Saccharomyces cerevisiae S288C: one gene and its partners. Changing the gene in region 3 together with the main gene of any one other region gives a genetic interaction. Each region holds a gene or a part of one and is shown on either strand. Other genes may lie near its edges. The genes, in order: PDR1, SDH1, RPS6B and SOL2.

Region 1 (9,430 bases), on a different chromosome or scaffold from region 3:
GTCGCTACAAAGGACAAATTCTTTACCTTGAGTGCTGAGAACATCGAAGAAAGGCTAGTAGCAATTGCTGAACAAGATTAACATACTTCCTGCCACAACATAATGTGAAATCACACGCGTCAACACTCAATATATGTATGGACACGTTTCATTTAGGATTTATTTTATAGGAAAAAGTAGATCAAGTAATAGAAAATCGAATCTTTTCAAGCCCTTTTGTCGCGTAAATACATCAATACTTTTATATACAAACTGTAAAATAAGTTAATGAAGTGGATAGAAAAAGAAAATAACTAGAAAACATAAGGAATAAAGACGTAAGGGCAATGTTTACAATACTCATCCCAATCTTTTCCGTACTTTCTCTTACATTTTGCTTGGTCTCTGAAGGCTCTGTGAATCAGGACAACAAGGAAGAATACTGGGAAAAACCATGGGAACACCGAGTTGAACCCGCAAGACAAGGCCCAAACGAGAGATTGAGTCCAATCGGCAGTGTAGTGAATTTTTCTAGCCAAAGTGTACCAACCATCAATCAATAGGTACGATCCATTGGAGGTAACCATATACTTTGGATTCTTCAAAATTTGGTATGGCAAAAATGGGAAAGTCTTCCTACCTGTCTTGTCACCAGACATTTGCTTTCTGAAGGCATTTTTCTGAGCATTTGCCGTGTCAAAGAAGTAGTAGGCGCATAATAGAACAACGTACAGCGAAACATTGTACAGTGTAGACCAGTGATATTCAGATGGGTCATGGTAGTACAAATACAACGTACAATGACAGTAAGTGTATGGGACACCGGCAATATTCCAGAAGATCAGCATAAATCCAAACTTTTCGTAAGCCATGTCCCAGGTTGGAACAATCAATTCTTCACCTTTAGCACATGCGTTCGCGTACAACCAATGAGCTAACATGACAACCCCCAATTGTGGTGTCACATAGCCGTAAGTCTCCCACTGCTTCAAACAGGCACCCAAAGTGATAAAGTAAAGGGTGAACCAAGGTAATCTAACCTCGAAAAACATCTTCAAGTCCAAAATCCCCCACCTAGGGTTTAGTGGAGCTCCCATGAAGAAATCATATAGATGGTTTCCTGTCATTCTATGATAGTCATGTGAGATAAATAAAGTCCATAAGTACAATATGATGGAGAAGGCAAACCCTGAAATAATGGCACATGTCATGATCCTCCCAAAACGGTCAATAATGACATACAATCTAAAAAGATTGGTAAAGTGCAAAACCAAGACCAAAGTGGTAGTTACATACAAGGTCCACATGGCATTACAAAAGTAAGGCAATTGTTTTCCCTTCAAATGAGACAATGGTTGACCTTTTGTCCAAATCCCGGGCAACGTATAGTAGAAAATGATCTGAAACACCCAAAATGTTAAGAAAATAGTCCAGTCATACTTTTCTGGGATACCGTTCTCCAAGACTAACTGGTATAGGTGCTTGATAAAGTGCATCCACGATTCACCAGCCTTGGGTAGGGCAACCTTACCGTGATAAAATTCCGCACAAATCCACATATAGTACATTAGCAGTGGAAACCCGATCAGCATACCAATAACACCAGTAGTCCCACCAAACTCATATTCGATTTCATTTGGCTTCAGCCATTTACCCTGAGGCAGGAAATTAACCGGTTGCTTGGACTTTTTCTCCTCTCCCTGCACCTGCAGCTTCTCACTATTATCCTTTGCCATAGCGATGCTAATCTATGTACACTACGTAAATATCCGTATCTGCCTATCTACATAACTGAACTACATTCCTACGTTATTACCACTGTTTGGTAATTTTTCCTCGAGGATATATAATTCTGCTTTTCCATAGTAACGCCAAACGATCGCGTAATACCGGCAATTACGGGATGCACGAAAATAGCGCCAAGGAACGAAAAAGAAATGAGTCTCGTTTAGTTATTAAACGAGAAGAAACGAGCCCTGATTTACATTCTCAGGGTCCAATAGGGCTTTGTTGGAAACAGACGCATACCCTAAATGGAGTTTCTTTTCTTGTTCAAGACCTAATGAGTGGCAATAAGAGGCGCTAATTAAAGCTCTTCAAAACAACCTTATTCGCCTATTACACATGATCAGCCACTCTTTCATTGTCAACAATAGCATGATAGCAGGACCATAGCGGCCATATAGACATTACCAGGAGTGAGTTTTGGCTAAAAAAAGACAATTTGCACATCACTTGCTAACTATTCATCTCAGCCAAGAATATACAGAAAAGAATCCAAGAAACTGGAAGATGCGAGGCTTGACACCTAAGAACGGTGTACATATTGAGACGGGTCCGGATACAGAATCGTCCGCGGACTCCAGCAACTTTTCTACAGGTTTCAGCGGCAAGATTCGTAAGCCAAGGTCGAAAGTAAGTAAAGCGTGCGATAACTGTAGAAAAAGAAAGATAAAATGTAATGGGAAGTTTCCCTGCGCAAGCTGTGAGATATATTCATGTGAGTGCACGTTCAGCACTAGACAAGGTGGCGCTCGAATAAAAAACCTTCACAAGACGAGTTTGGAAGGTACAACCGTACAAGTCAAAGAGGAAACAGATTCCAGTTCGACTTCTTTTTCTAATCCTCAGCGATGTACAGACGGGCCATGCGCAGTGGAACAACCAACGAAATTTTTTGAGAATTTCAAGCTAGGTGGTCGTAGTAGTGGTGATAATAGCGGAAGTGATGGGAAGAATGACGACGATGTGAATAGAAACGGTTTTTATGAAGACGATAGCGAATCACAGGCAACTTTGACATCTCTACAAACCACTCTGAAAAATTTGAAGGAGATGGCTCATTTAGGTACACATGTAACCTCAGCCATCGAGAGCATTGAACTTCAGATAAGTGACTTGCTTAAGCGATGGGAACCCAAAGTGAGGACCAAAGAATTAGCAACAACGAAATTTTACCCTAATAAATCAATAGAAACTCAATTGATGAAAAACAAATACTGTGATGTGGTACATTTGACAAGATATGCCGCTTGGTCAAACAATAAGAAGGACCAAGATACTTCTAGTCAACCTTTGATCGACGAAATCTTTGGTTTGTACTCTCCTTTCCAATTTTTGTCACTTCAAGGTATTGGTAAATGTTTCCAAAATTATAGATCCAAATCCAAATGCGAGATTTTTCCCAGGACCGCCAAGGAAACCATATACATCATGTTAAGGTTTTTCGACGTTTGTTTTCATCACATCAACCAAGGCTGTGTCTCCATAGCTAATCCCCTGGAAAACTACCTACAGAAAATGAATCTTTTACCTTCAACCCCATCTTCGATATCATCTGCAGGGAGCCCGAATACAGCACACACAAAATCGCATGTTGCGTTAGTGATAAATCACTTACCGCAGCCCTTTGTGAGAAATATAACCGGAATAAGTAATTCTGAGCTACTAAGCGAAATGAATAATGATATCAGCATGTTTGGCATTTTATTGAAGATGTTGGATATGCATAAAAATTCCTACCAGAACTTCCTAATGGAAATCACATCTAACCCCTCCGTGGCTAAAAACACGCAGTCAATTGATGTCTTGCAGGAATTCATCCATTATTGTCAAGCTGGAGAGGCGCTAATCGCCTTATGTTACAGCTATTATAATTCTACATTATACAACTACGTGGACTTCACATGCGACATAACGCATTTAGAGCAACTTCTATACTTTTTGGATCTGCTATTTTGGCTATCGGAAATATACGGTTTTGAAAAAGTCTTGAACGTAGCAGTTCATTTTGTTTCAAGAGTTGGTTTATCAAGGTGGGAATTTTACGTGGGTCTTGATGAAAACTTTGCTGAAAGAAGAAGAAATCTCTGGTGGAAAGCTTTCTATTTCGAGAAAACTTTAGCCTCTAAACTTGGCTATCCTTCGAACATTGATGACTCCAAAATCAATTGTTTATTACCTAAGAATTTTCGAGATGTTGGGTTCTTGGATAATAGAGATTTTATCGAGAACGTCCACTTAGTTCGCAGGAGCGAAGCTTTTGACAACATGTGCATATCCGACTTAAAATACTATGGCGAATTAGCTGTCTTACAAATAGTCAGCCATTTCTCATCATCTGTTTTATTCAATGAAAAATTCACGTCAATTAGGAATACATCAAAACCATCTGTTGTTAGAGAGAAACTACTCTTCGAGGTACTCGAGATTTTTAACGAAACAGAAATGAAATATGATGCTATCAAAGAGCAAACTGGAAAATTGTTCGATATTGCATTCTCTAAAGATAGTACTGAACTCAAAGTTTCAAGAGAGGATAAGATTATGGCTTCAAAATTTGTTCTATTTTACGAGCACCATTTCTGCAGAATGGTTAACGAATCTGATAATATTGTCGCCAGATTATGCGTGCACAGAAGGCCCTCAATACTAATTGAAAACTTGAAAATATACCTTCACAAGATTTACAAATCATGGACCGATATGAACAAAATCTTATTAGACTTTGACAACGATTATTCCGTATACCGTTCGTTCGCCCATTATTCTATCAGTTGCATTATTTTGGTATCACAAGCATTCTCAGTGGCCGAATTCATTAAAGTAAATGACGTTGTGAATATGATTAGAGTCTTCAAAAGATTTTTGGATATAAAAATTTTTTCCGAAAATGAGACCAATGAGCATGTCTTCAACAGCCAAAGCTTTAAAGACTATACAAGAGCTTTTTCTTTCCTGACAATCGTCACTCGTATCATGCTTTTGGCATACGGAGAGTCCTCTAGCACCAACCTCGATGTTATCTCCAAATATATTGATGAGAATGCGCCAGATTTAAAAGGTATAATAGAACTTGTCTTGGATACAAACTCTTGCGCTTATCGATTTTTATTAGAACCTGTTCAGAAGTCAGGATTCCATTTAACGGTCTCACAAATGTTGAAAAATAGAAAGTTTCAGGAACCACTAATGTCAAATGAAGATAATAAGCAGATGAAGCATAATTCGGGAAAAAATTTGAATCCGGATCTCCCAAGTCTTAAGACGGGCACTTCATGCTTACTAAATGGCATTGAATCGCCTCAATTGCCATTCAATGGTCGCTCAGCACCTTCCCCAGTGAGAAACAACTCACTACCGGAGTTTGCACAATTGCCTTCATTTAGGTCATTATCCGTGTCTGATATGATCAATCCCGATTACGCGCAACCAACAAATGGGCAAAATAATACGCAAGTCCAATCTAATAAACCAATCAATGCTCAGCAGCAAATACCCACTTCAGTACAAGTACCATTTATGAACACAAATGAAATCAATAACAACAACAACAACAACAACAACAATAAAAACAATATTAACAATATTAACAACAACAACAGTAACAATTTTTCTGCAACTAGTTTTAATTTGGGGACACTAGATGAATTTGTTAATAACGGTGATCTTGAGGACCTCTACAGTATCCTGTGGAGCGACGTTTATCCAGATAGTTAAACGTATACGTTTGTATAGATAAAAGTTCTCAAAAACTTCCTTCCTTTTTTTTTTCTTTTGAGTTTACTTATTTAAATAAGAACATTCTGTTTTCTAGGGCATCTCCTTCTCTTATTTCTTCAACACTATTTACCAGTATACCATAAAGTGAAAATTCCTATTTTTTTTGCTTTGGATATTCATTTGATCCTCAACGAAAAAAAAAATGATGTATTTTAGTATTGTACAAAAGATATTATATGAGGCTAACGTAAAAAAAGCTAAACTGAGGATATATGTATCAACTATGAATCTAAATGTAACATTCCGATGATTCTTTTACCATGAGGTGTATTTCTTATGGGGCCCACCAGTAAAGGCGCCACAATCTCTGATAGTCTTTTATAGAGATAGTCATTTTGCTTATGAGAAATGTCTAATGCTGTCTGTAAAACGTAATTTCCGTAGCTATCATTCAACAATGATTGAATACCCGTCTCGCCACCATTATTTAAAATTTCCAGAATCATTGGCTCCGAAACAATAGCTGTCTTCAAGATTTTTTCAATCACATTTGATCCAAATTTATGGATAGAAAGTTCGATGGCTCTTGGTTTCAACAGGTGGACAATTTTATGCGTATAATCATATTTGTTCTTCTCAGCCTCTTTGGTAATTATATATTGCACCACATAGTTGCCAAATGGATCCAAAGTTAATTTATCAACAAGGGCTAGCAACTTATCACACAGATTGTCACATTGTTCTGTAGTCCCATGATCTAGACAACGTTGCAAAACGCAACACCCGTGTCTATGAGTAGCAATATCAATACAGCTATCAGAGATTGCGTCAAAGATAAACTGGAAGTTTTCAGGCTTCAACCTTTGCAAACATTTTTGAATAACATGATTACCATTTAAATCCTTACTCAACTGGACAGTATAAGGGCGTAAAGAATCAACAACAATCTGTGCTTCTTCATCTGTTTTGATGCATTCAATGAGTTTTTGTAATGCCCTAGTACCATGAGGGTTTAAGGAAATTTCGACAAAATGAGGGGAAGATATTTTTGTGAGTACGATTCTTTGTTCTGTGGTAACCTCTTCCAATAGCTTCTGGATCAAATAATTACCGAATGAATCAGTCATCAATTCAACCGTATAATCCTTAGTTTCTTCAAAAATTGCGTCCGCCGCCTTACTGCCGAGAATATCCAACTGCTTTTGCAGAAAACGACAACCATGTTGGTCTTTACACAATGAGTGAATACTTCCGATATATTGGTCTAAAACTGCGTCCGCAAATCTCGACGACTCCTCAATTTTACGTTGTTTTTCCGCGCTGTTGCTGTTGGTAGCATTACTGTTATTATTATTATTGTTATTATTATTATTATTATTATTGTTATTATAGTAGCCATGATAACTGTTTTTCATATTTTTCATTTTACCAACGTTAGAACGACCTGTGTCTTTATTGTTGTAATTAGAATTACCAATGTTGTCATTGTCATTATGACTTGACATGCTATTGTTATTACGACCATGATGTTTATTATTGGCGCTATTCATTAACGGCATATGATTTTGAGCCAACAAATGAGGCGGAACCATTGCGTTGAAGGGAGGTGGAGTGCTATAAAGCCAGGGAGGAGGGGGGGTGTTTTGCTGGGGAGGTAATATGTGGAAAGGTTGCATTGATGGCCCAAGATTAGGATTTATTAAATCCATCCTAACATTTGGACCCGCCTTGTCGTTATCGGTGGTGGGCTTACCACCATCATTCTTCATATCTGAAAAGGCAACAGAATTTGAACTAGGGTTTAAAACTGGTGCAAGATGAATTGGCGATTGGGTTAGAGGAATTGGAGAATTTGCATTTAGTGAATGACTCGTAGGATTTAAAATCGGAGAGAAAGGTTGAAATTGCGCGCCCATTTCATAAGAATTAGGAAAAGGTGATCTAATACCATAGATAGGGGAGGATATATTATGTGGGTGGCCTGGCATAATAGGATTTGGTTGAAGTAAAGGTCCCCCATATGGATATGCTGCACCATAAGTTGTAGGACTCTCTTTTTTAGCTGGTGCAGTTTTATTAATCAAATCCTCCTTCGAGGTTTCTATTTTGAAATCGGATAATTTCTCAGAAACACTATTGGTTGGGGGTATAAATGACGTTGAGGAGGGAGTATTATCAAAAGATATGGATTGAGTTCTGGTTTTTGCAGTATTGTTAGCTCCTACAGACGGTTTCTTAGCCTTAGAAAAATTCTGCATGTCAGATTGGAAGTCCTTTGACAAGGTTACATTGTTGGCCGCATTGATAAGGTCAGTTGGTGATAAAGCATGAAAAGTTTGTCTTCTGAACGAACTAGCCTTATTATTAGACTCCCTGCCCTTAGATGGTAGGCTTTCTTGTAGAGTAGCGGTGGTTTCTTCAATGGCTACAGATGCTGATCCTGGTACGTTTGAATGAGTCCATAACGGATCAGCCGATGCGATTGGCAATACCTTCATTGAATTGTCATTTATCAATGGGTTTAGATTTTGTCCACCTTGAGTTGCTACCGCAGCACCCGAAGACAGCATTTGAAATGGAAGTGAGTCATTCTTGAATAACATTGGTGGACCGCCTGCATTCAAGGGCGAGCTACTCAATGGTGCTGTTGGATCATTAAAATCAGGGGGCGGAAAAAATGGACAAGGATTATGAGGAACCTGCATCATTTGAGAGTAGGGCATGAAGCCCATTCCACCCATCATTTGTGGATGTGGAAACATTTGCGACGGAGGGCCATTAGCGAATTGAGAATCTTGAGAAACTTTATTCGCAAATGCATTAGAGGTGGCGTTTTCCTCTGGATCATCTAGTTGCAACTGCTCTAAAGCAGAATTGACTGTTTCTGAAACGACAGGGTCTACTGATGGTACATCATCGATTTCTTCTTTCAAACCTTTTGTAGACATAACGTAGGTCCACTTAAAAATGTTACAGCGCTTAGTTCTCTCTTTCTTAAAAGATATCGAGGACAAAGAAACAGTAAGAACGGAAAATGAACAGAGACTCTTAAAAGAACCTAAAGAATAAGCGAAAATAAAATATGAAAAGAGAACTAGTGGACAATATCAACAGGAATTTTAAGTGTACTAAAAATAAATCGTCTGGAATAGTGTACAAAAACGAATAATATTAATGACGGCTCAAATCCTAACGTTGGAAACTAAAATACAATAAAAATAATGTACAATGTAATATACGGAAGAAAGTTTTTTTTCTGTTTCAACAAAAAAAAAAACTATTCAAAAAAAAGACGTGAGGTACTGTTTGCTGTTCACCTTCGGAGAGAGATAACCAACCGATATTCTCTTTGAGTCTGAGTGATTTGTTAAACAAGGTGCAACGAATAAGAATATAACTATACTATCTACTATATTGATCATTATTTTTTATTCTCTGGAGGACCCCAGAACAAAAAAAATATAGAAAAAAAACAATCGTCAAGAGTGACAAATACATGAGTAATAAGAAAAGGCGTCACAAATTAAAATTTGCAGTCACAAAGAGAAATAGACAGAGAATAGACTGTCTGGAATTAAGATGTCTTTTCTATCTGAGCTCCCAACAAGGCAACGGTATTGGACAGATATAATTCACAAATCACAATTCACTCCATGGAAGACACGATACGTCCATTAAATTACGCAGATATCGAGACCAGCGGGCCCATAAACCTTCTTGAGACAACTAATAACCTAAAAAGCTCGTTAAAAAAGTTTTCACAAAAGGCAAAGGGATCACACATTTCCAGAGAAAGGATTCACCATTTTAGAAAATGGAAAAATAAGACCGAATCACTTTCAGAAAACCATTTGAAGCCTCCTCCTGACGTCGACTCTCTATGTTTCAGTAACTGCTTTCAACCTGACGCCCTGTCTGGAAATGTATTTTTACCCCCCAGAAGCTCAAA
Region 2 (8,006 bases), on a different chromosome or scaffold from region 3:
ATTCTCATCTCCTTGGAAAATACTGTATATACCCAGTTCTTTGTATAGTAAGCTGCATGCTAGTTTAGTTTTCGGGTGGCAAAATTCGGTAATCCTATTCACTATACCTTTTCCTCTCGTCCGGGTAAACTCAGCCATACCAAATTGACAAGGATAGTACATTTATGCTAATCATAATTAAAACAAGGTATGTGTGTTCCAGATGCATATAGATAACGAGTCATATATAAATATATATATATGTGTCTGTACATGATGTACTCGGTCAAAAATGGCGGATTACTGGCTCCACATTTTAATCGTCTGCCATGACGTGTAGGCCATGACAGCAACTCCAAATACTATGACGATTAAATCTAAAAGAAGCCTGGCTCTCGAGGTTCCAGATAAGATGGACGCCTTATAGTGCAACAATGGCGGGTATATGTAGATCAATGGGATACACGCGAAGGAGCCTACCAGTGATACAAATTTGTCCAAATCGTTGGCGCCTACCCAAGCGAGGATAGATGTCAGGACGACAATAGCGCAACGGAAATAGTTTTTCAACCATTTGACTTTCGGGTTGTATTTACCAGATGCATTTGAGGGAAAAGTCCAGTTTTCCAAAATACGTATCGCGGGAAATAGCTGCAACGGCGTGGATAACAAAATGGCTAATGCATACAGTAATTGAACAGTGAGAGTATAGGAAGTGTCCTGCGGAAAATTCAATAAAACAACAGTTTTCACGTCAGATCCAAAAGCGGCATAGCATAAGAGACCACATGATATGAAAATCACTGCCACGATACACATCACCGCGGACAACGATGGCCGGAAATGCTTCGGGTGTTTCATTGACTCCTGAATGGGGATAAGTAGGCCTATACCTTCAAAGGTGAATATGGCGGTACCGATGAACAACGACCAGTCCGCTTTATTGAACATAAGCATTGTATCGGATGCGACACCATTAACAGCAATATAATAAATGGAGTAAACGTAAACATAAACCAATCCCAGTAGAATAAATAGATCTGCTATTAACGCGGTCCCACTTAACTTGGCTATGTTTCTTGTCAAAGATAGTGGGACAAAGATGAGTACTTGTGCAAAGATATAGGTGGCTAGACTGATGCTGCCCGGTTTCAAATGGAAGAAATTTTCAGAAAAGACCTGCAAATTAGTTGCAGTGAAAACAGTGTATGCAGCAGAAAACCCGATTTGTGACAAGGCGATAGACGAAAGAATGGCAAATTTCATTTTGGGCCCATATAGTATACGACCCATGTCACCGTACCCATCTACGCCTACTTTGTCCTTGGTGGTAATCAATGATACGAAACATCCATAAGAAATGAGGGCACACGAGAGTAGACAAAGGGCGCTAAATCCCCAACCACCGTTATGGAAAGCCTTTGGTAGGAAAAGCACACCTGTCCCAACAAATGACTTTAACAAGAGCAGCACCGCCTTTACCGTAGATGATTTGTGAGGATGGCGCCCGTGTTCACGAGAAACTAGCTGGGTGCTTTCCGTTTCCAAAGCTTCCTCCTCTGGCTCCTCTTCAGTTTCTTCCTCCTCCTCCTCTTCTTCCGATAAATCTTCACCAGCGAAGTGGCCATACAAGGTCAAAAATTCAATAAAGTTCCTGGTGAAAAAATTCGGTATGGGCGCATCAACGTTATGTTTCCTGCGCTTCTGTATTATAAAAGATCTTCTGAATCCACCAGGAGCCCTGATTTCTTCGTGCGTCATCGGTGCGGGCGCCAGGCCTATTGCCGCTAGAGGATTCCCATTCGCCTCCGAGTTGTTGTTAAGGTGAGAGGAAGATGCTATAGAAGCGGCAGAAAAGCTCATAGACCTTTTACGATTCGAGAATGAGGGCGCTTGTGAAGGTATTGAGGTGGAAAGTGCAGGTTGACTTGGGTACTGATACTGCGATGGTGATGAAGGATGGTCGTTTGTCCACTTATACAGATCTCTTGTAATGTCTCCGCCTTGCAATTGTAGGCTGTTACTCGGGTTTCTTATCAAGTGGCGTGCCACGGCATCTACCACATGTGGCTCAGGGTTATTTATGCTCACTTCAAGCGTGCCATTGTTACAGGAAGTGTGCGACGCGTCGGGTACGCTAGCATGCACCGCTTCATTGTTCACAAGCAGCGGCGGCTTTTTTAGCAAACCACCTGTAGTTCCACTAGATTTTCTACTTCTGCTTCTACTTCTACTATTACCGTTGCTATTGCCACCGTTGCCGTCCGTTAAAGGTGAGCCAGACGCATGCGAGATTCCTGTACTGCCTCCGTTGTTATTTTTTTTGTTGTTGTTGCTCTGCGTTCTTCCAGAGCCACTTGAAACCTCTTTTCCATTCATATCCGCGATGCAATCCCTTATACGCTTCTTAATAAACTTTGCTTCCCACTCTTTCACTACTGACCATCGATCCTTCTTATTTCATAGCCTCACGAGCACAAATGATAATACGAGAAAAAGGCCCGACCGGGTAACCAACCCTTTTACTATCTCTCGCTCTACCTTTAGTAATAATGTCGTCTATATAAGGATTTACTCATACAGTAGTCCAAAATATACCTTTCCGTGCTAAAAGTAGCTCCCAAAAGTAGCGGAGGTGAGGATCATCCTCTATTGCCAGGTACCAAGCTCGCTGGAAAGTCGTTATGGAGTCACGGCTTTGAGGGCGGGGGTGGACCAATCACAGCGCAGAACGCGGCGCCGAGCAAGCGCTGGACCAAGGGATCCGGGCCTCTTCTATTGGTTGTTTGTTTGCTCAAACCCGTTATATATTCAGGCATCCTCGACTCTAACCTTTTGCCACGTCGAGGCGGCTTGAAGCTTAAATAGCACTAATAAACTAGTAGACACATTATAACTAACCAGTAGTATACTTTGCACTTTCGATATTCTTTTCACTAATCTCCTCCCCAACCCCTTATTGAAGATAAAAAGAAAGAAAGAAAGAAAGAAAAAAATCCAATTTCATAGTACGAAGAAGAACGAGAATAAAGATGCTATCGCTAAAAAAATCAGCGCTCTCCAAGTTGACTTTGCTCAGAAACACAAGAACATTTACATCGTCAGCTTTGGTGCGCCAAACGCAGGGCTCTGTAAACGGTTCCGCGTCCAGATCTGCAGACGGGAAGTACCACATAATAGATCACGAGTATGACTGTGTGGTAATCGGTGCCGGTGGTGCCGGCCTTAGAGCGGCCTTTGGTCTTGCCGAGGCGGGCTACAAGACTGCTTGTATATCCAAGCTTTTCCCCACCAGATCCCACACTGTTGCTGCTCAGGGTGGTATCAATGCCGCTCTGGGAAATATGCACAAGGATAACTGGAAATGGCATATGTACGATACTGTGAAAGGATCTGATTGGCTAGGTGACCAGGACTCCATCCATTACATGACCAGGGAAGCGCCCAAATCGATCATTGAACTGGAACACTATGGTGTTCCTTTTTCAAGAACTGAAAACGGTAAGATCTACCAAAGAGCCTTTGGTGGTCAGACCAAGGAGTACGGTAAGGGTGCTCAGGCCTATAGAACATGCGCTGTCGCAGACAGGACAGGACATGCTCTTTTACACACGCTTTATGGCCAAGCTTTAAGACATGACACACATTTCTTTATTGAGTACTTTGCCCTCGATCTGTTGACCCATAATGGCGAGGTCGTTGGTGTCATCGCTTATAATCAGGAAGACGGTACCATCCACAGATTCAGAGCACACAAGACCATTATTGCCACTGGTGGCTATGGTAGAGCATACTTCTCTTGTACCTCTGCTCACACATGTACGGGTGACGGTAATGCCATGGTTTCGCGTGCTGGTTTCCCCTTGCAAGATTTAGAGTTTGTTCAATTCCATCCTTCAGGTATATATGGGTCTGGTTGCTTAATCACTGAAGGTGCTCGTGGTGAAGGTGGTTTTTTGGTTAATTCTGAAGGTGAAAGATTCATGGAACGTTACGCTCCTACGGCCAAGGATCTAGCTTGTAGAGATGTCGTTTCCAGAGCAATCACCATGGAGATCAGAGAAGGCAGAGGTGTTGGTAAGAAAAAGGACCACATGTACTTACAATTGAGCCATCTACCTCCGGAAGTTCTAAAGGAAAGATTGCCAGGTATCTCTGAAACAGCAGCCATTTTTGCTGGTGTAGACGTCACCAAGGAACCTATTCCCATTATTCCTACCGTCCACTATAACATGGGTGGTATTCCCACGAAGTGGAATGGTGAGGCATTAACCATTGATGAAGAAACTGGCGAAGACAAGGTTATTCCCGGTTTAATGGCTTGTGGTGAAGCCGCTTGTGTTTCTGTCCATGGTGCCAATAGATTAGGTGCCAATTCCTTGTTGGATCTTGTTGTCTTTGGTCGTGCTGTTGCCCATACGGTTGCTGACACTTTACAGCCTGGGTTGCCACACAAACCACTACCTTCTGATTTGGGTAAAGAATCCATCGCAAACTTGGATAAACTAAGAAATGCTAATGGTTCAAGATCTACGGCAGAAATTAGAATGAATATGAAACAAACTATGCAAAAGGATGTTTCCGTCTTTAGAACACAATCATCTTTAGATGAAGGTGTTCGGAACATTACTGCAGTAGAGAAGACCTTTGATGATGTGAAGACGACCGATAGATCAATGATCTGGAATTCTGACTTGGTTGAAACTCTGGAGCTACAGAACTTATTAACCTGTGCCTCCCAAACAGCTGTTTCCGCTGCTAATAGAAAGGAATCCCGTGGTGCTCATGCAAGAGAGGATTATCCAAATAGAGATGACGAACATTGGATGAAGCATACATTATCCTGGCAAAAGGACGTCGCTGCCCCAGTGACTTTGAAATACAGAAGGGTTATCGATCACACTTTGGACGAAAAGGAATGTCCTTCCGTACCTCCAACTGTAAGAGCCTACTAATTTGAACCTCATTGTATTTTACGGAAAAGAATATCATACTCTTCTTTAATTGCACTTTTTTTGTGCGTTTGCACTTTTTTACCACTGACTCACTAATTTGTATATATACCTATTAATATACATTTACATAAAGTTTCTTCTTATACATACTCTATTTATTTAGTTATTTATTAACTTACTATTTATTTATTTATTTATTTATTTATTTATTACTTTCAATTTTTTATCGAGGCATTTCCTTAGTTCTCCAATTTTTTTTCTCATTAGCCAGATGTGTGTTTTTCTGGCCCTCACAAAAAATGAGCAGGAGAAAGTCATATGGCGAACGTAAATATGTAACTAAAAATTAAGATGGGCAGACATTTATCATTTTGCTTATGACTAAATTGCGAATTGCTGTACAAGGGTGCTGTCATGGTCAGCTAAACCAAATTTATAAAGAAGTGTCACGAATCCATGCGAAGACTCCCATCGATCTATTAATTATTCTTGGAGATTTTCAAAGTATTCGTGATGGTCAGGATTTTAAGTCAATAGCCATACCACCAAAATATCAAAGACTCGGTGATTTCATATCATACTACAATAATGAGATTGAAGCCCCAGTCCCTACTATTTTTATTGGCGGTAATCATGAATCGATGAGACATTTAATGCTTCTGCCACATGGTGGTTATGTAGCAAAGAACATTTTTTATATGGGATACTCTAACGTTATATGGTTTAAAGGCATAAGGATAGGTTCATTGAGCGGGATATGGAAAGAGTGGGATTTCAATAAGCAACGACCAGATTGGAATGACCTAGAAAATAACAATTGGAAAGCTAACATAAGAAATCTGTATCATGTAAGAATTTCTGATATTGCTCCTCTTTTTATGATCAAGCATCGTATTGATATTATGCTGAGCCACGATTGGCCCAATGGAGTCGTTTATCATGGCGATACTAAGCACTTGTTGAAGCTTAAGCCTTTTTTTGAGCAAGATATTAAAGAGGGAAAACTAGGCAGCCCAGTGACCTGGCAACTACTAAGAGATTTGCGGCCTCAATGGTGGTTGAGCGCCCATTTGCATGTCAGGTTCATGGCCTCCATTAAGCATAATAAAAGAAGCCACGAACCGCCTAATAAGTCAACTTCAAAGACAAAAAAAAACAATAATGAAATAGATTTGGATTTATCCAGTGACGAGGACGAAAGGTCTGGTATTATGAATTGCCAAGAAGAGAATGAGTATGATTCCAAATACGGCGAGACACGGTTCTTGGCGTTGGACAAGTGCCTGCCAAGAAGACGTTGGTTAGAAATTCTGGAAATAGAACCGGATACATCGCATGCTTCGTGGAAGGACGAGAATCACCGTATGTTCTGGGATCCTGAATTTATCAATAATTTGGTAATTTGTCAAAAAAATAAGAATCTCCTAAGCAATAAACCGTTTAATAGCGTCAATTGGATAGAACTGTCTCAATCTAATAGAGAGGAAGGAAGGGATATTGATTGGGAAAATTATGCCATTCCTGCATACACCTTAGATATTCAGAAAGATGAAGTACGACAAACTAAAGCATTTATCTCTAAATTCATGACTTGAGAGATATTTCTATTACGAATGCAGACGGAATTAGAGCTTAAAGCCAAGCCTTCTTGAGAGAATTTTTAGTCATACACATGAATATATATATATTTTTTATATATTTACTAATTTGAACGATCCGAAATTAAAAAAAATATCAATTACTTTCCTCCATGCTTAAAATTTGAAAACTTGGTCCTTGGAGTAGCCCAAATTGTTCAAGATACCGATCAATTCACCTTGGTCCTTAGGTGACTTCTTCTCACCTGAGTAAGCGTTCATAAATGGTGGGGGACCGCAGACAAACAAATGTGTGCTTTCCTTTGGACCTGGAACATGCTCCTGAATAAAATCTTTGGAGATGAAACTAATTTCACCATCAAAGTCTTGGTCATCTTGCTTGTCGTCAACAAAGTAAGTAACATTGAACTTGTCAGGATACTTTTCCTTCAACGCATCCAGTTCCTTCCTTAGTAAAATGTCCTGAGGAGTCTTGTTCCCATATAGCAAGTTAACTTTGGTCTTGTCGTTTGGGTTTTCAACTATATGATGAGCTAATTGGTACAGAGGGTTGATACCGGTACCGGCACCTAACAAGGTGATTGACTTGAACTGATTAGGTTGCCACTTCCATTTCATAATAGGACCCTTGAAAGAAACGGTGTCATTTGGTTTAAGACCAAATAAATGTGAGGTCATTTTACCACCTTCATAATGCTTGACGACCAGCTGGAAGTGACCCTTCTGGGAAAGATCACTCACAGGAGTGTATGGTCTCACCACATTGGATCCCTTTGGTGTGACAAATTTAGCAAACAGAGCAGATGCTAGGACCAACCCCATTTCTGAGTCTTCGGTAGGCAGCTTAAAAGTAAACCTTCTGGTGTCGTGGGATTCCTCCTCTATTTTAGATATTGGCAAGTCGATCCATTTGTCATCACCTTTGAACACTTTATTAGATTCATTGAAGACAAAGGAATGTTGGTTACGGTTTGCAAAATAGAATGCGGTAGCAGCTGCTATAGCAACTGTACCTAGAGCAATCGGTAATGCTTTTGAGTGAGATCTGGATAATCTGGAAAACATGTTTTTGACTTGGAATATTATTTTAACCTATATACGTTATACTATTGTTAGTTTGGCTGCTTCAAAACGTTAGTATTGAGGGAAAAGGTAAGAGTACTTAACACAAGCGGGCATTGCGAGCAAACTGCATTCTTATATACGTACCTCTCTCGACAAGACACCAATCAAGGGCCCTTATTTCTCTTCTTTTTTCAAACGGAGAAACACTCCGAGCGATAGTTCCTACGCTTGTTTGGTCTTAGACCTTTGAAGTTTGAATTGTCAGGGGTAACAAGTTCCTTATACGATATAGGCGTCATAATGAGGGGGATAGTTTAGCATTGCGTGGAGGGATACTGAAGGTCATCGCAAATGAACCTAATTCATTCACCTATTGTTACCAGCTTGCATACTAGAAATGGACTCTTAT
Region 3 (6,878 bases):
TGGCGGTGTTTATAGTATAAAGAATTTTTATTCTGCAGTTCCGAAGGAGAAAATGAACATAATTCTTGTTTCACTTGATTGTGAGCTCCAAAAGCTTGCTCTTAAGCTGTCAAAGAAAACTAGTGGCACTCACACTACGCACTAGCTTTTACACCACATCGTTATTGTTTTCCATTAACGCTTACGTAAATTTCATCTATCATTCTACCTGTACCGTTCCCGATGATAGTGGCTTACAAAACGGCTTGAGGTACAGTTGGTTCGAACTTTTTGCATTATTGTTGCCTTCTTTTTTTAGTAACAAGCGGCGTCTTTGTTTCTTCTGCAAAAATAATCTCGCTCGAGTAATTGGAGGCTTGGCAAAACTTAAATCTCCACGCATACCCGGCTTCCTATGTTCGTGAAGGACTCAAAAACATGAACTATCCTTATCCATCTTTCTTTTGCCAAATTATTTTAGCCAATCTATATAACACTACATCATTCCTTTGAGTCTTTCTTTATCATTCATTCGAAGGGAGAAATATACGAGCCAAATTCAAAGACAGACTATTTTTTCGAGCAGGCCTATCTCATCAGAAAAAAATTTAATAAAGCTCTAGATAAGCAAACACAATTATTTTCAAAAAAATTTCTGCTAAATGGGTAGAAGAAAAATTGAAATTGAACCTATCAAAGATGATAGAAATCGTACAGTTACTTTCATAAAGCGAAAAGCAGGACTATTTAAAAAGGCTCATGAATTGTCAGTACTTTGCCAAGTAGACATTGCTGTCATTATTTTAGGATCCAATAATACATTCTACGAATACTCTTCTGTTGATATGAGTAACCTGCTTAATGTTCATCAAAACAACACTGATCTTCCTCATAATATCATAGAACCATCTGATTATGGTGACTATGTGAAAAAACCACGTGTTGTTCTGAATGAAAGGAAGCGCAGGCGAAGAAGAGCAACCGTGTTGCAACCAGCTTCCCATTCTGGGAGTTGTACAGTTTCGAGTCAAGATTCCTCCAGTGTACAAAACAATGGGAATTTAAGCGCTCCGTTGGCGTCAAATGACGCCGGGAACGCTGGTGTAAGTACACCATTGGTGCATTGCCACGGAGCAATATCACGTAGCGGATCCAATCATTCTGACTGTGCAAGAAATAGTGCAGATTATCAAATGTTGCAAGGCGGTTTAAATTCTGGTGGGAGTTTTCATGCTAATGATTATAAAGAAAGCGTAGACCAACAGCATGTTGCAAACGAGGCTATTCATAGGAATTTTATGAACAAGAGGATTAGGCCGGATACTCATTTACTACTTTCTGAATCTAACCACTCTAATTATCATAATTTTTACCCGTCGCCTTACGAGAATTTGCCAAAGCCTTCATTGCCTGCAAGTTTAGTGGGCAATATTCCATCCTTTCAATCGCAATTTGTACAGGTTATTCCGGCAAATAGTAACCCAATGGGAAAAGGATTTAATGGGACGGGTGACAGCGAGAGCTTTGAAGCAAAGCAAAAGATACACCCGACAGTTGCTATATCAAATACTTTGGAAGGTCCAGCTCCAGTGCAGGCGATGGTCCATCACCTGCACCAACTGAACAGCAATAGAGGAAAGCTCTCAGGGAAGCCATATTTAAAGCTAAATATTCCGAAGGCCACAAATGACGCTTGCCAGAGGTCGCCAGCAATGTATTCAGGAACCGCATCACCGAAAACGGATGTACAAGCCACTCCCAATCAAATGCTCGCCAGCAACATGTCCTCCCCTCTTTCTCGTTCAAAGTTTTTGGGATTCAAGAACAATGATATGGACGACTTATATCATAATGGCCGATGTGGCAGCACTTATGTAAATAACAAAACATTCTTTCTGAAACCGCCAATTGGAAGACCGCCTAAATTTCCGAAAAGCCCGTCTTCATCTATTGTGGTTTTTCCTTCCTCGGTAGCTAGTTCAACTTTGAAATCCACGAGTTCGACAAACTCTCCAGATTAATGAATCGCTTTCTAGCTACTTTTTACTACAAGAAAGCATTCGCTTAAAATTAAGAGTGTATGTTGGCGCATTTAGGCAAACGTCTTCTAAATTAGGGCTATAGACAATTATGTCGCTCGTACATTTTTCAGATGTAGTGACGCAAATTTCTAGCAATTTGCAGGTAGTGCTCCACGGCCCCCTTCCAATTTTTGTGCACTCAATCGATCAAAACAATAGAGACTGCCCTGTTAACTTCTCAACATAATTATGTAAAAAATTATCTCATTAAGCCAGATAGCAAATATATCACATATTGCATTGATTAATTTGAGAAAAATATACATGTATCTTTTCAGTTAATTTTATTAAAAATAAATTATTTCCTTACTTTTTTTTCTACAGTTTGCACCATTAACCTCTTTTCTTGCATCCATACATCTTTGAACTCCATACATCTTATTTTTTTGCTGTTTTTTTTCAGTGTCTCGGGCATACAGGCCGCTTATCTTCATGCCGGCCCATCATCCTAGGAAACTCTTTCGGTATGGGCCAAGGGCAGGCGAAAATCCTATGTGCGTGGAGCTGATACAATCTCGGCTGGCTTGGTTTGTAGGGCACGGTCAATGAATGCCTGATGGGAGAAAAATTCATCTTTATGAAAAGTGATCTTAATTTGAATAGTGTGCCCTTCAAAACATTTGGAAGTCATTAATTGAAACTATCCAGTGTGAATAGACGACTGAGCCATCATGAAGGTATGTAATATCACCCAAATCCTTAGAATTCTAATGAATCAGCACGCGCTAACCGGCTGTTTCTGACTGTTTGATAAACGTATACCCACAAATTAGTGCACTATAATAAAAATTCTCAAGAACAACGTTGTTTAAACGAGATAATTCCCTCTAATATACACGTACCGACACTTAGGAAAATATCTCGCTAAGTTCAAATTAAGGAATGAAAAAGGAATTTACGAAAAGGGTTTAGAAATATCAATGAAAATAAGAAAAACCTGTAACGGAAGAAAGGACAGCAGGGATTCGTTGGAATTTGTCGATATTGGCTTCGGACAACTTTACTAACAAATGGTATTATTTATAACAGTTGAACATTTCTTACCCAGTCAACGGGTCTCAAAAGACCTTCGAAATTGATGATGAACACCGTATTCGTGTTTTCTTCGACAAGAGAATCGGTCAAGAAGTCGATGGTGAAGCCGTTGGTGATGAATTCAAGGGCTACGTCTTCAAGATCTCTGGTGGTAACGACAAACAAGGTTTCCCAATGAAGCAAGGTGTTTTGTTGCCAACTAGAATCAAGTTGTTGTTGACCAAGAACGTTTCTTGTTACAGACCAAGACGTGATGGTGAAAGAAAGAGAAAGTCCGTCAGAGGTGCCATTGTTGGTCCAGATTTGGCTGTCTTGGCTTTGGTCATTGTCAAGAAGGGTGAACAAGAATTGGAAGGTCTAACTGACACTACTGTTCCAAAGAGATTGGGTCCAAAGAGAGCTAACAACATCAGAAAGTTCTTCGGTTTGTCCAAGGAAGATGACGTTCGTGATTTCGTCATCAGAAGAGAAGTCACCAAGGGTGAAAAGACTTACACCAAGGCTCCAAAGATCCAAAGATTGGTTACTCCTCAAAGATTGCAAAGAAAGAGACACCAAAGAGCTTTGAAGGTCAGAAACGCTCAAGCTCAAAGAGAAGCTGCTGCCGAATACGCTCAATTGTTGGCTAAGAGATTGTCTGAAAGAAAGGCTGAAAAGGCCGAAATCAGAAAGAGAAGAGCTTCTTCTTTGAAGGCTTAAGTATGTCTTGGACCTGCATAATTTTTATACTTTTTCCTTTTAGATATATGTACTTTTGGCTTAATTTAATATAATTAACTATAACTTCGATTTTATTCTTTGAAGGTCCAAATGCACGTAATTCATAAACTTATGATGCATTGTTCTATTTCTTGAAGTCCTTGGGATGAGTGATGAGAAAATTTTCTTGAAAGTTAAATAATATAATAAAATTCTAAAAGTTAAATTTTATAGCTAAACATAAACTATTTCTTAAAATTCTTTGGCAGTATATTTTCTTTGAAAAATGAGAAGATATAATATACCAATCAATGAAATTGAACTGCAGAGACCGAGCCCTGTAAAACACCATCCAATTCCCATTGCGTTACAGAGCTGTAAAATGATAGCGGAACTAATGGCAGCGCCCACATTTCGAAAGAAACTACTAACAGCAACAGTTCCAGCAGCTCTTTTGGGGAATAACTCAGTTAAATATGTCATTGATGTGTTGCTGCACCAGGTCATACCAAAGGCAGTGAGAGCGGAAAAAACTAAAAGAACCACAAAATGATAATGAAAGAAGATTGCCCATCCGTATCCTATTGTGCCACATATTGTTAGTAAAATTCCAATTAGGTTCAGTAATAAACGAAACTCTGCCGGGAATTTCTTTTTAGGATGACTTTTGATCCAGCGTGAACGAAGATAATCTGAGAGGTGCCCACCAGATTGAGATCCTAGTAACATAGCTACACCTGGGCAGACATAAGCAGCACCAATTTCTAACATAGTAAAACGGTAGTCATGTTCAAGGTAATACGAAAACGTGACGCTGAACGCATAGTAACTGGAGAACAGGAGTGCAGTACTGACGGACGTGATTATTATTGGAGGACATTTAATCATTTTCCAATATAGTGTCAAACCTGCTTTAGGCGGCTTTGGAAAATTTTCTTGGAAGAAAGCATCATTATTGACTGGTTTACGGATACCAATGTCTGGGAACAGACGCCGATGTGATATTTTATTACCTTCGAAGAATGGAGATTCGTTATTTTCACGTTCATCTTTTTTGTCACCCCATTTAGGGTCTCCATTACCAACTATACAACGTAGCGTTTCTGGAAGTAAAGCAGTAACCAAGATCAATGCTATTCCTGTCATGATAGAAGTGAAACCAAAAAGCCATCTCCAGTAATTTCCTTTCATTAAAATAAGCCCAGCAACAATGGGTGCTATAATAGGACCCATGTTTGGACCCATCATGAAATACGCTATGGCCTTTCCCCTGTGTTTTGGAGGAACAACGTCTGTTACAGTGCCAGCTCCCAGAGAAATCACAGAGCTGGAAGCGAAAGCTTGGAAAATTCTTAAAACAAAAAGGGCAGCAATATTGACTGGTACAGCGGCCAAAAGTATATTAACAATTAACATTAGTGATAACGACACCATATATAAGAATTTCCTTCCACCAAAATCCGCCAGTGCGCCCCAAAACAATGGACCAACGGAAAAAACAGCCATAAATACAGAAACTGTAGCGTTTATTGTTGTTGCACTTACATCATATTCCCTTTGCAGCAATGGTAAAGCCGGTATATATATGTTTCCAGACATTGGGCCCAAAAATCCTATAAAAATGATAATTCCAAAAATGATTAGTCTTTGATCCTTGGAAAAATAAGTATATGGAATATGTGCTTGAGTATCAGGAGAAGGGTCTCTTGACTGGGAGTTCGATGACTTTACAGCAACTTCCTCTTCTTTTGTTTTTGCTTTCTGTGCTGACAATGATGGGGAAGAGTCAGGGTGCTCATGAAAGACATCATGATCTATATTGGCTCTCTTTTGGTTCACCTGATCCCAGCTTTCATTAATTACATCATCTCCTAGATCTTCTAGCGAATGAAATGTTGAGCGGGTTGTTCCACTTTCTTGCGAATTAATTTGCAGACCCAAATTCTTTTTCTGAAACGGTTCGCTTCCCATTGCCTTAATTCTTTTCCCAGCTCTTGAAACTCTTTTTTGAAAAATTACCAACAACAACTTTTCTTACTACCATCCTTCTAGCCTTATCAATATTCTCATATATCTTAAAATTGCAATTGTTGTTACAAAGGAGTTTGTGTCGTTTTTCACCAGGTGACAGAATGTCTGGGTTGAAAGTATCAATGAAAAAAAAAAATGTAGAGAGATGCCAAAACAGTGGCCAACAGGCAGCTTTGGCTACGGAAATGATTTGGAAACCTGCATAAGTATTTCTCCGCGAAATTGGGAAGAGTGATATGGATAGTTGTGATCCACGGTATATAATTCCTTGTGATCCCTTATCTGGCAAGATAGCTATAGTATTACTAATACGTGGCGCTAGTATAATAACTCGCGCAAAGACCGAACGGAGATTAATATTTAAAAGTTGGTGCGCAGTCCGGGTAAATACAGCTTTTCATGCTGAAGAATATGGCCGGGCTAATATTAATTAAGACGGACGATGCATTATTGAAACAGGATAACGCAGGTTACAGTAGCCCTTAATAAATAAAGCAAAGTACATCCGAACATAGCAACATTATCTGATATCACGGATAGAGGCAAAACGGTAGGCTCATTTAACGATGTCTGAAGGAAAACAACAATTCAAAGACAGCAATAAACCGCACAAGGACTCCACAGATCAGGACGATGATGCCGCCACAATAGTACCACAAACTCTTACTTACTCACGCAACGAAGGTCATTTTTTAGGCAGTAATTTCCATGGAGTAACTGATGACCGTACCACTTTGTTTGATGGTGAAGAGGGGCGTAGGGAGGATGATTTGTTGCCCTCATTGCGTTCCTCCAACTCAAAAGCACACTTAATTTCTTCACAACTTAGCCAGTGGAATTATAACAACAATAGAGTACTTTTAAAAAGATCTATATTAAAGACACAAGCTTTTATGGATCAACTTCAAGAAGAAAATAATATTCGCCCGATTTTTATTGCTGCAAATGATGAACGGGAAAAATTACATGTTCTACAACTGAATATCAAGCTAGATGGTCAGTACAATACCAAAGAAAAGAACGGTTTCAACATTGAGAAAAAAGCTTTATCAA
Region 4 (6,822 bases), on a different chromosome or scaffold from region 3:
ATAGGTTATCTGTTATATCAATCGTCTTCACAGGGTCACTGGCCTTCTTACCTTGAATTGTACAGCTGAAGGTATATGGCACTGGATCGTCTGAAGTACCGTTCAATTGATTTAAAAGTTCTTCTAACTGTTTCTCGGAGATAGCACCGGGAACTCTCAGGGCGCCACCTACATTGTCACCAGTATCTAAAGCTTGGAACTTGATTGAAACATTGGGTAAATCTTTCGGAATAATAGCTACTTCTCTGGGAAGTTGAGCCTCTTTCTTTTGTTTCTTAGAAGGTGGAGGAATCAGGGTGGACATCTGTATATTGTGTTAGTGTGTGTTTATCGAGGTTACAAATATAAAAATCTTGTGATATATGTCTTTTAAAGATACTCTTTTTGAAGCTCATCGCATTTTTTTTTTTTTTTTCATTTTAAAATTTTTCACCGGTTTCTCGGGTAACAGCTCTAAATGAAATCTTGCCTTCATCACCATTATTGAATTACATTACATTATATATCGTAGTATATCATATTTTTAGACGTTGACCACTCTATGAGCTTAGGATAGGTACTTGATCTTTCTCTGAGTTGCCAAATGCTATTTCACGGATTTGTATCATCCAAGGGTCTATCAGTAGTTCCACAGCAGTAGCCCTCATAGTGGGGTCTTGAACCAAACACCTTTCCAAGAAGGCTCTTCCCGCTGCAGTCATTTCGTCTCTATTGGGTAGTTGCGGTATTCGACCTGCAGCAACGTGGTACATGATGGCCCATTCATTATCCAAGTTAGACCAAGGTCGTCTACCTGTGGCCATTTCTAGCACAACACATCCTAATGCCCATACATCGTCCGCTCCAAGTTTTCCCTTAACTGCCGAGCCTGAAATAGTCTCTGGAGCCATATACATCGGTGTCCCCATCATTTCATTGAGGGACTTTGTTTCTACTCCAAAATCTTGAACGGCTGCGTTCCGCACAGTTCTAGTCCTAGATCCTACAACGGTACGTGCCGTACCAAAATCCACATATTTTATGATTCCATTGAAATCCAGCAAGATATTCTCCGGTTTAATGTCGCGATGCACCACGCCAGATTGGTGCAAATATGCCAAACCTTCTAATAGTTCGAATGTGTACACTTGTGTTACCATTTCATCTTCAATTCTTCCATGATCCAATAACGAGGCTAAAGAACCACCCTCACAGTATTCCATGAAGATGTTAACTTTATCGCGATGTACTTCGACACCATAGTACTGGACAATATTAGGATGGTTTAACATTTCCAATACGGTCATCTCTTCTTTAATCAGGGGAAAAATCTTCTTCATTGTTGTGGTATCGTGTATCTTTATTTCCTTAACAGCTAAGATTTCACCGTTTTCCAGATTAATTGCAGAGTATACCTGTCCAAATGTTCCACCGCCAATGAAGCTTCTTTTTTGCCACCTCATTGATACATTCGATAATGAGGATGCTAGCGATAGTAGGTATTTGTTTCCCTGATCTGTAGCATCCAATACCTTACCCATTTGCCTGGGATTCCTCTTCATAGTCTTTTCCAACGTCTTTATAGCTTCCAGTCTCAACCTGCTGTTTATTTCTAGGGTGGCCTCTTCATCAATATTCTCTTCAGTATCAATATTCAATCTTGCCTGTTGCATGCCATTTTCAGCTTCAGTGGCTCGTGCACCCATAACGTCGAAATGTGAAATTAATAATGACATACATACTGATACCCTCTCCTTCAGTTCTTGAAATTGCTTTACATTCAGCGCCAGGATATTATAACCACTAGTCATCTGCATCGCAAAATCCATTGCAAGAACGCACCATCGGAAAGTTCGCTGATCGGTAGGATCACACTCTTCAACAAGGAATTTCAACCAGTTCATTCCTAATTTAACCATCAGAAAGATGATAACGTACTTCCTCTTTGAGCTAAAGGCGTTATATTTAAGGAAACTTCTTCCAAAATCCCTTCCAAACATGAATATCGAATTTAACAACTCATTTCCCGGACATTGCTTCATAAAGCTACCTAGAATTCCTTTGTAGTTGTTCAATACTGTATAAGTAAGTTTGTAATATGCCTTATTGATTTTTTGTAGGGAGGATTCAATTGAATTGAGTGAACAACGTTTCTCTATGAATGAAACAGAATCACCTACCGTTTGATTAAACTTGTCGATTTGATAAGTCAGTGCATAATTAGAACCTTGATTGAGTAAAATCAACGTATTTGGGTTACCAATTTTCCCTAAATCCATTTCGTTGGATGCAAAAAGGTTGTTACCTGGAAGCTTATATACTGGTCCATCCCAAACTACTGGCTCTCCAGGATATAGTACAACTAGTGCACCCAATGAGCTCAAAGCAACTTCCAATTCAAAAACTTCATTGTTCTTTTCATCAAGGTGCTGATCAAAAGGGTCTGTTGAAAAATTCTTCTTTTTGGACTGATGAGCATGCCTGTCCAAATCACTTGACGAATTTGCTACTACTCGGTAGTAAGGAATTCCTTTGGAATCCTCCCCTTTCGATACTAGAATGTTCAAATCTGTTTCTTTTGTTGTTATATCATACACATTCAAATTATTTCCAATGTCAAGCTTTGGGACCAAATCACAGCCAATGGATTTATTTCGCAAAATTCTTAAGATGGTATCATTGTCACAACCTAATAATTCAGGAGCAGCAAACATATATACACCACTAGACTCAAAAGTGTTACCGGAGTATACCAAAAAATAGTGAGCATCTTTTAACTTTTTAACAAGTTGTGCATTATGATTAATCTGATAAACAGCAGAATTTTGGAACGCCTTGACTAGAATATTGCTGAACCTGTTCAGCTTTCTTTTCATGGCACCCAAATTTTCGAAAATGGAACTTAGCCATTTTTCTGCTTCTGAAGCGTTAGCAAATGTTGGTGGGAAGTTTTGTTGTTTCAAAAGATAGAATTGCAATTTATGTACGAGTCTCAAAGTTAACTTGAGAAATTCATTTGGAATCACGGTTTCTGCACCGTTAATATAGTGACCGGTGTTTTTTAGGTGATCCCAGTATTTCAAGAGTAGATCGGGTGCTTTGAAATTTTGTTTACTGGAATCAATCAACTTTAAATTCAACAGAAAAAATAAATAACGAATGGCTTCTATTACAGTATTTTCGAACGTCGGGTCAAAATCCACATCGAACGGCAAATTGGAGCAATATTTTGTCAGTGTGTACTTCAATTGCACAGAAAGTCGAATAAAAGCGTTAAAATCATCGATCATTTGATCGATCATCATCATTGTTGGATTTTTAAGCTTTCGTGCATATGACAATCTAGTCAAAATAACTTCTTTGATTAAATAGACGGGGAACGCCAGTAGTGATCTTAACCTTTCATAAGGATATTTTATGTTCATCTTTGTCAAAGTTTCTCTGTAGACTATAAAATGTAGTTTCAGTTTGAACATCCAAGGTGATAGCGGATAGAAAATTTTTTTTTGGAATATAGACTCGATGTTCTTTTCCTTCATCAATTGTTCTGCAAGAATCTTCATTTTGCAGTTCCATTGGGGCACACCATCAAAATCCTCTTGGCAATTATCCGAACTACTTATCGGTGAGAAACGGTTTATCCAGTCGTCCAACTCTTGCCTCCTCAACGTTAAGTTCGTTTTAAAGTTCAGCCAAGAATTCATTACGTCTATTCTAGCGGTAAATTCTGCAGTATTGGTGATTGGTTTATCCTTATACATTTTTTTCAAGTTAGGCCAATAAGAGACAACGCTGTGATATCTGTTCATGAGGTCTTGTAAGATGGCCTCCAGTGCATCCAGGCTCAATATCTTGCCCTGTGGAATTTGAAACTTCATTATCTCTTCAAAAACGGAATCTGAACTATCTCTTAAATATGTAAGCGACTGTTCCATCTCTTGCATGGTCCTCCCATTCAGCCATGCCTTCAATTCGAGCCATATCTCATCTGAGAGCTCCTTATTTAACCCTGGTTTCTTGACTTGGTTAGCAATCCTCGTCTTTTCACCTTTAACAATATCTCCCTTCAGCACTCTGGCCAGCATTGACTGCCATTTGAACCGTTCGGTCGCAATTTCATTCCAAGCTAGTTCATCACTGTCTGACCTCATTTTCCTGCAATAAGGTGTAGTGGAGAAAAACTTGACACCTGAGTGCAGGTCTTCATCAATTCTGTCGCCATTAGACAACCGAATAATTTCGTCATCACCGTCGTCTTCCTCGTAGCGGTTAGTGAGTTTTATGCCCCTCGTGTAGTAGTCATCTAAAGCGGTCTTTTTTAGCTTTTTCAAGTATAGCGATTCATTGAAAACGTATCGGTCCTTAAAAGTCAGCTGACTGGGGCCGTCGCTTATTGTTTCCGAGCCACCCAATGCTTTCAAATCAGATCTTGATAGTTTATGGCTGGAATGACTTGATAATCTCTTCACGAGCTTACTTGAGATGGTATGAGGAGCCAGAACTCTCCCGCCTTCAGCCGCTTTTTGTTGCTGTGTATTCAGTATATCCATCATCATTTTCACCTACAAGGAACTACCTTTTATAGCCACCCTAAGTAAAACAACATTAGCTTAGCATCCTCAATTCTTATCGTATGTTGTTGCTGCTATTTTTATCCTATTGTTCCTGGCATCGCTTTTTTACATAAGGTACCAAGGCAAGAGAAAAGACCCGCGAAATTTTCAATTCGAGACATAGGGTTAATACGAAATATGTTAAGGTCTAGTTTCCAAAAAATGAAGAAAATGTGATTAGACATCCTGGGGAAATTAGGTTTAAATAGGGCGGGCGCTACAGGGGTTTTCCTAACAAATTTCAATGATAATAGTGGCATCATCATCGTCATATCCAGTGTAGGTATGGACTAGAACAGAAAGCAATTTGCAGCAAGACAATATGACTACGACGGTACCCAAGATATTCGCGTTTCACGAGTTTTCAGACGTGGCAGAGGCCGTAGCTGACCATGTAGTCCACGCGCAAGACGGTGCATTGGCTCCAAAGAACGAGAGGAAACACTCTGTTCCCAACATCAGCATGAATGCACTGGATATGACGAGAGAGGCCTCTTGCAAAAGCACAGCATCTGCCGCGGAAGGGAAAAGTGGTAGCAGTGGTAGTGGCAGTGGTAGCAGTAAGCCCAAAAAGGAGAAACGGTTCAAGATTGCTCTCTCCGGTGGGTCATTGATCGAAGTGCTACACGAAGGTCTGCTAAAACGAGACGATGTACGGTGGGGAGACTGGGACATTTACTTTGCAGACGAGAGACTTGTACCCTTCAGCTCGAATGAAAGCAATTATGGATGCGCCAAAAGGAAGATTTTGGACCTGATAGACACGGCGAAGTATGGAACTCCGAAGGTGTACCACATTGACGAGTCATTGATTGACGACCCGCAAGAATGCGCTGATAACTATGAAAAGGTGCTAATCCGCGGGTTTGCCGGTAGAGATTCCGTCAAACTTCCGATGTTCGACTTGTTCCTGCTTGGTTGTGCCCCCGATGGTCATATCGCATCACTCTTCCCTAACTTCCAGGACAATCTACGTGAGAAACTTGCATGGGTGGTGCCCGTGGAGAACGCTCCTAGTGGGCCCTCGACCAGAATTTCGCTGACTATACCTGTAATCTGCCATTCTCACAGGGTTACTTTCGTTGTCGAAGGTGCAACCAAGGCGCCCATCATCAAGACCATTATGGAAAGGCCTGAAAAGGGCCTACCTAGCAGTATTGTCAACGAAGGTGCTGCTGGTCGTGTATCATGGTTTGTTGACGACGATGCTCTTACGGACGTCCTCGTCACCAAAAAAAAGTATAAATTCCACCAAGGTTTGTCTATTTAAACCATGCATGTGTGTACATACATACATACACACATACATACATACATACATATATTTATGTATATTTATGTATATATATATATATATATATATGCGTAATTATGCAGATTTCTCCTTGTGTGCTACAGCGGGTACTCTGACGCCAGATCATGGCCTCGAGATCGATATACAAACCACTGCATGATAAAGATGAAGTTGAATATTAAAGTTACCATTGACAGTCCCACTTTTCCAAAATTTGTCACGAACGTATCCAGACTGAAACCTTGATCGTTAGACAACTGCCAAATCAATTGGAGCAGCGAGGCGATACCGCCAGTGACATCTAGAAACACACCCTGAATGGGGAAACAATCCATAGATTTTCTTGTCGAGTTATGCGTCACTTGTGGGATGTACTTGATTAGTGACATCGATATTTTGAGTAAAAACAAATTGTTGCAATACGCCAGAGTTCTTGAGTTATGCCAATCGTACCAGTAGTTGGAGTACATAAATTGTACGGTTAGCAGTGAAAAAATGGCCAGTGATGCGAGTAAAATCCTTAGGTACCATGGATTCATCTTGCGGTGACCTTTACCTGGAAATCGCCAGATTCTCGCTCCAGCTACCACCTGGGTCAATAAGACAACATTCATCAAGCACCCATGCAGGCAATACCAGAAATCAAATTGCGTCAACTTGGGCCTGCCCAAGTCAGACTCATCACCCGTCATTTTCCAGCAGTACAATTGCAAAAATATGGATATGACCAGGTAAGAGTAACCTGCCGTATTTAACATGACAAAATCCATCGATATCGCGCTCGCTGACTTATGGCGCCAATTGGTGATTATCGGTGGATACATCGATATCGACCATGACGTAACATACACGATACCTAGTATATCGTCTAACGACACCATTTTGCTTCGCGTTTGCTTTTGTTTGCTTTTAGTTTTTCTTCCCTTGTTTACATAT

What was found.
Region 1: mutations in RPS6B (region 3) and PDR1 together harm fitness more than expected from each alone (negative genetic interaction), as found in Saccharomyces cerevisiae (2 studies listed by BioGRID).
Region 2: mutations in RPS6B (region 3) and SDH1 together harm fitness more than expected from each alone (negative genetic interaction), as found in Saccharomyces cerevisiae (2 studies listed by BioGRID).
Region 4: mutations in RPS6B (region 3) and SOL2 together harm fitness more than expected from each alone (negative genetic interaction), as found in Saccharomyces cerevisiae (2 studies listed by BioGRID).

What each region holds. Positions count from the first base shown.
Region 1 is NC_001139.9:465,140-474,569, reverse strand, and holds PDR1 (drug-responsive transcription factor PDR1), read left to right. Parts: upstream 1-2,271; coding exon 2,272-5,478; downstream 5,479-9,430. Other genes in the region: SCL1 (proteasome core particle subunit alpha 1), read left to right, coding at 1-81; ERG4 (delta(24(24(1)))-sterol reductase), read right to left, coding at 294-1,715; PUF4 (Puf4p), read right to left, coding at 5,763-8,429; BIL2 (Bil2p), read left to right, coding at 9,135-9,430. UniProt on the Saccharomyces cerevisiae protein: Positive regulator of proteins involved in permeability. PDR1 and PDR3 jointly control the transcription level of both SNQ2 and PDR5.
Region 2 is NC_001143.9:166,135-174,140, reverse strand, and holds SDH1 (succinate dehydrogenase flavoprotein subunit SDH1), read left to right. Parts: upstream 1-3,011; coding exon 3,012-4,934; downstream 4,935-8,006. Other genes in the region: AVT3 (Avt3p), read right to left, coding at 280-2,358; DBR1 (RNA lariat debranching enzyme), read left to right, coding at 5,312-6,529; MCR1 (cytochrome-b5 reductase), read right to left, coding at 6,689-7,597.
Region 3 is NC_001134.8:588,628-595,505, reverse strand, and holds RPS6B (40S ribosomal protein eS6 RPS6B), read left to right. Parts: upstream 1-2,731; coding exon 2,732-2,737; intron 2,738-3,089; coding exon 3,090-3,794; downstream 3,795-6,878. Other genes in the region: YBR182C-A (uncharacterized protein), read left to right, coding at 1-145; SMP1 (Smp1p), read left to right, coding at 642-2,000; DTR1 (Dtr1p), read right to left, coding at 4,047-5,765; FZO1 (mitofusin), read left to right, coding at 6,392-6,878.
Region 4 is NC_001135.5:242,049-248,870, forward strand, and holds SOL2 (Sol2p), read left to right. Parts: upstream 1-4,914; coding exon 4,915-5,862; downstream 5,863-6,822. Other genes in the region: RSA4 (Rsa4p), read right to left, coding at 1-304; mitogen-activated protein kinase kinase kinase SSK22, read right to left, coding at 540-4,535; cystinosin-like protein ERS1, read right to left, coding at 5,985-6,767. UniProt on the Saccharomyces cerevisiae protein: May be involved in regulation of tRNA subcellular distribution.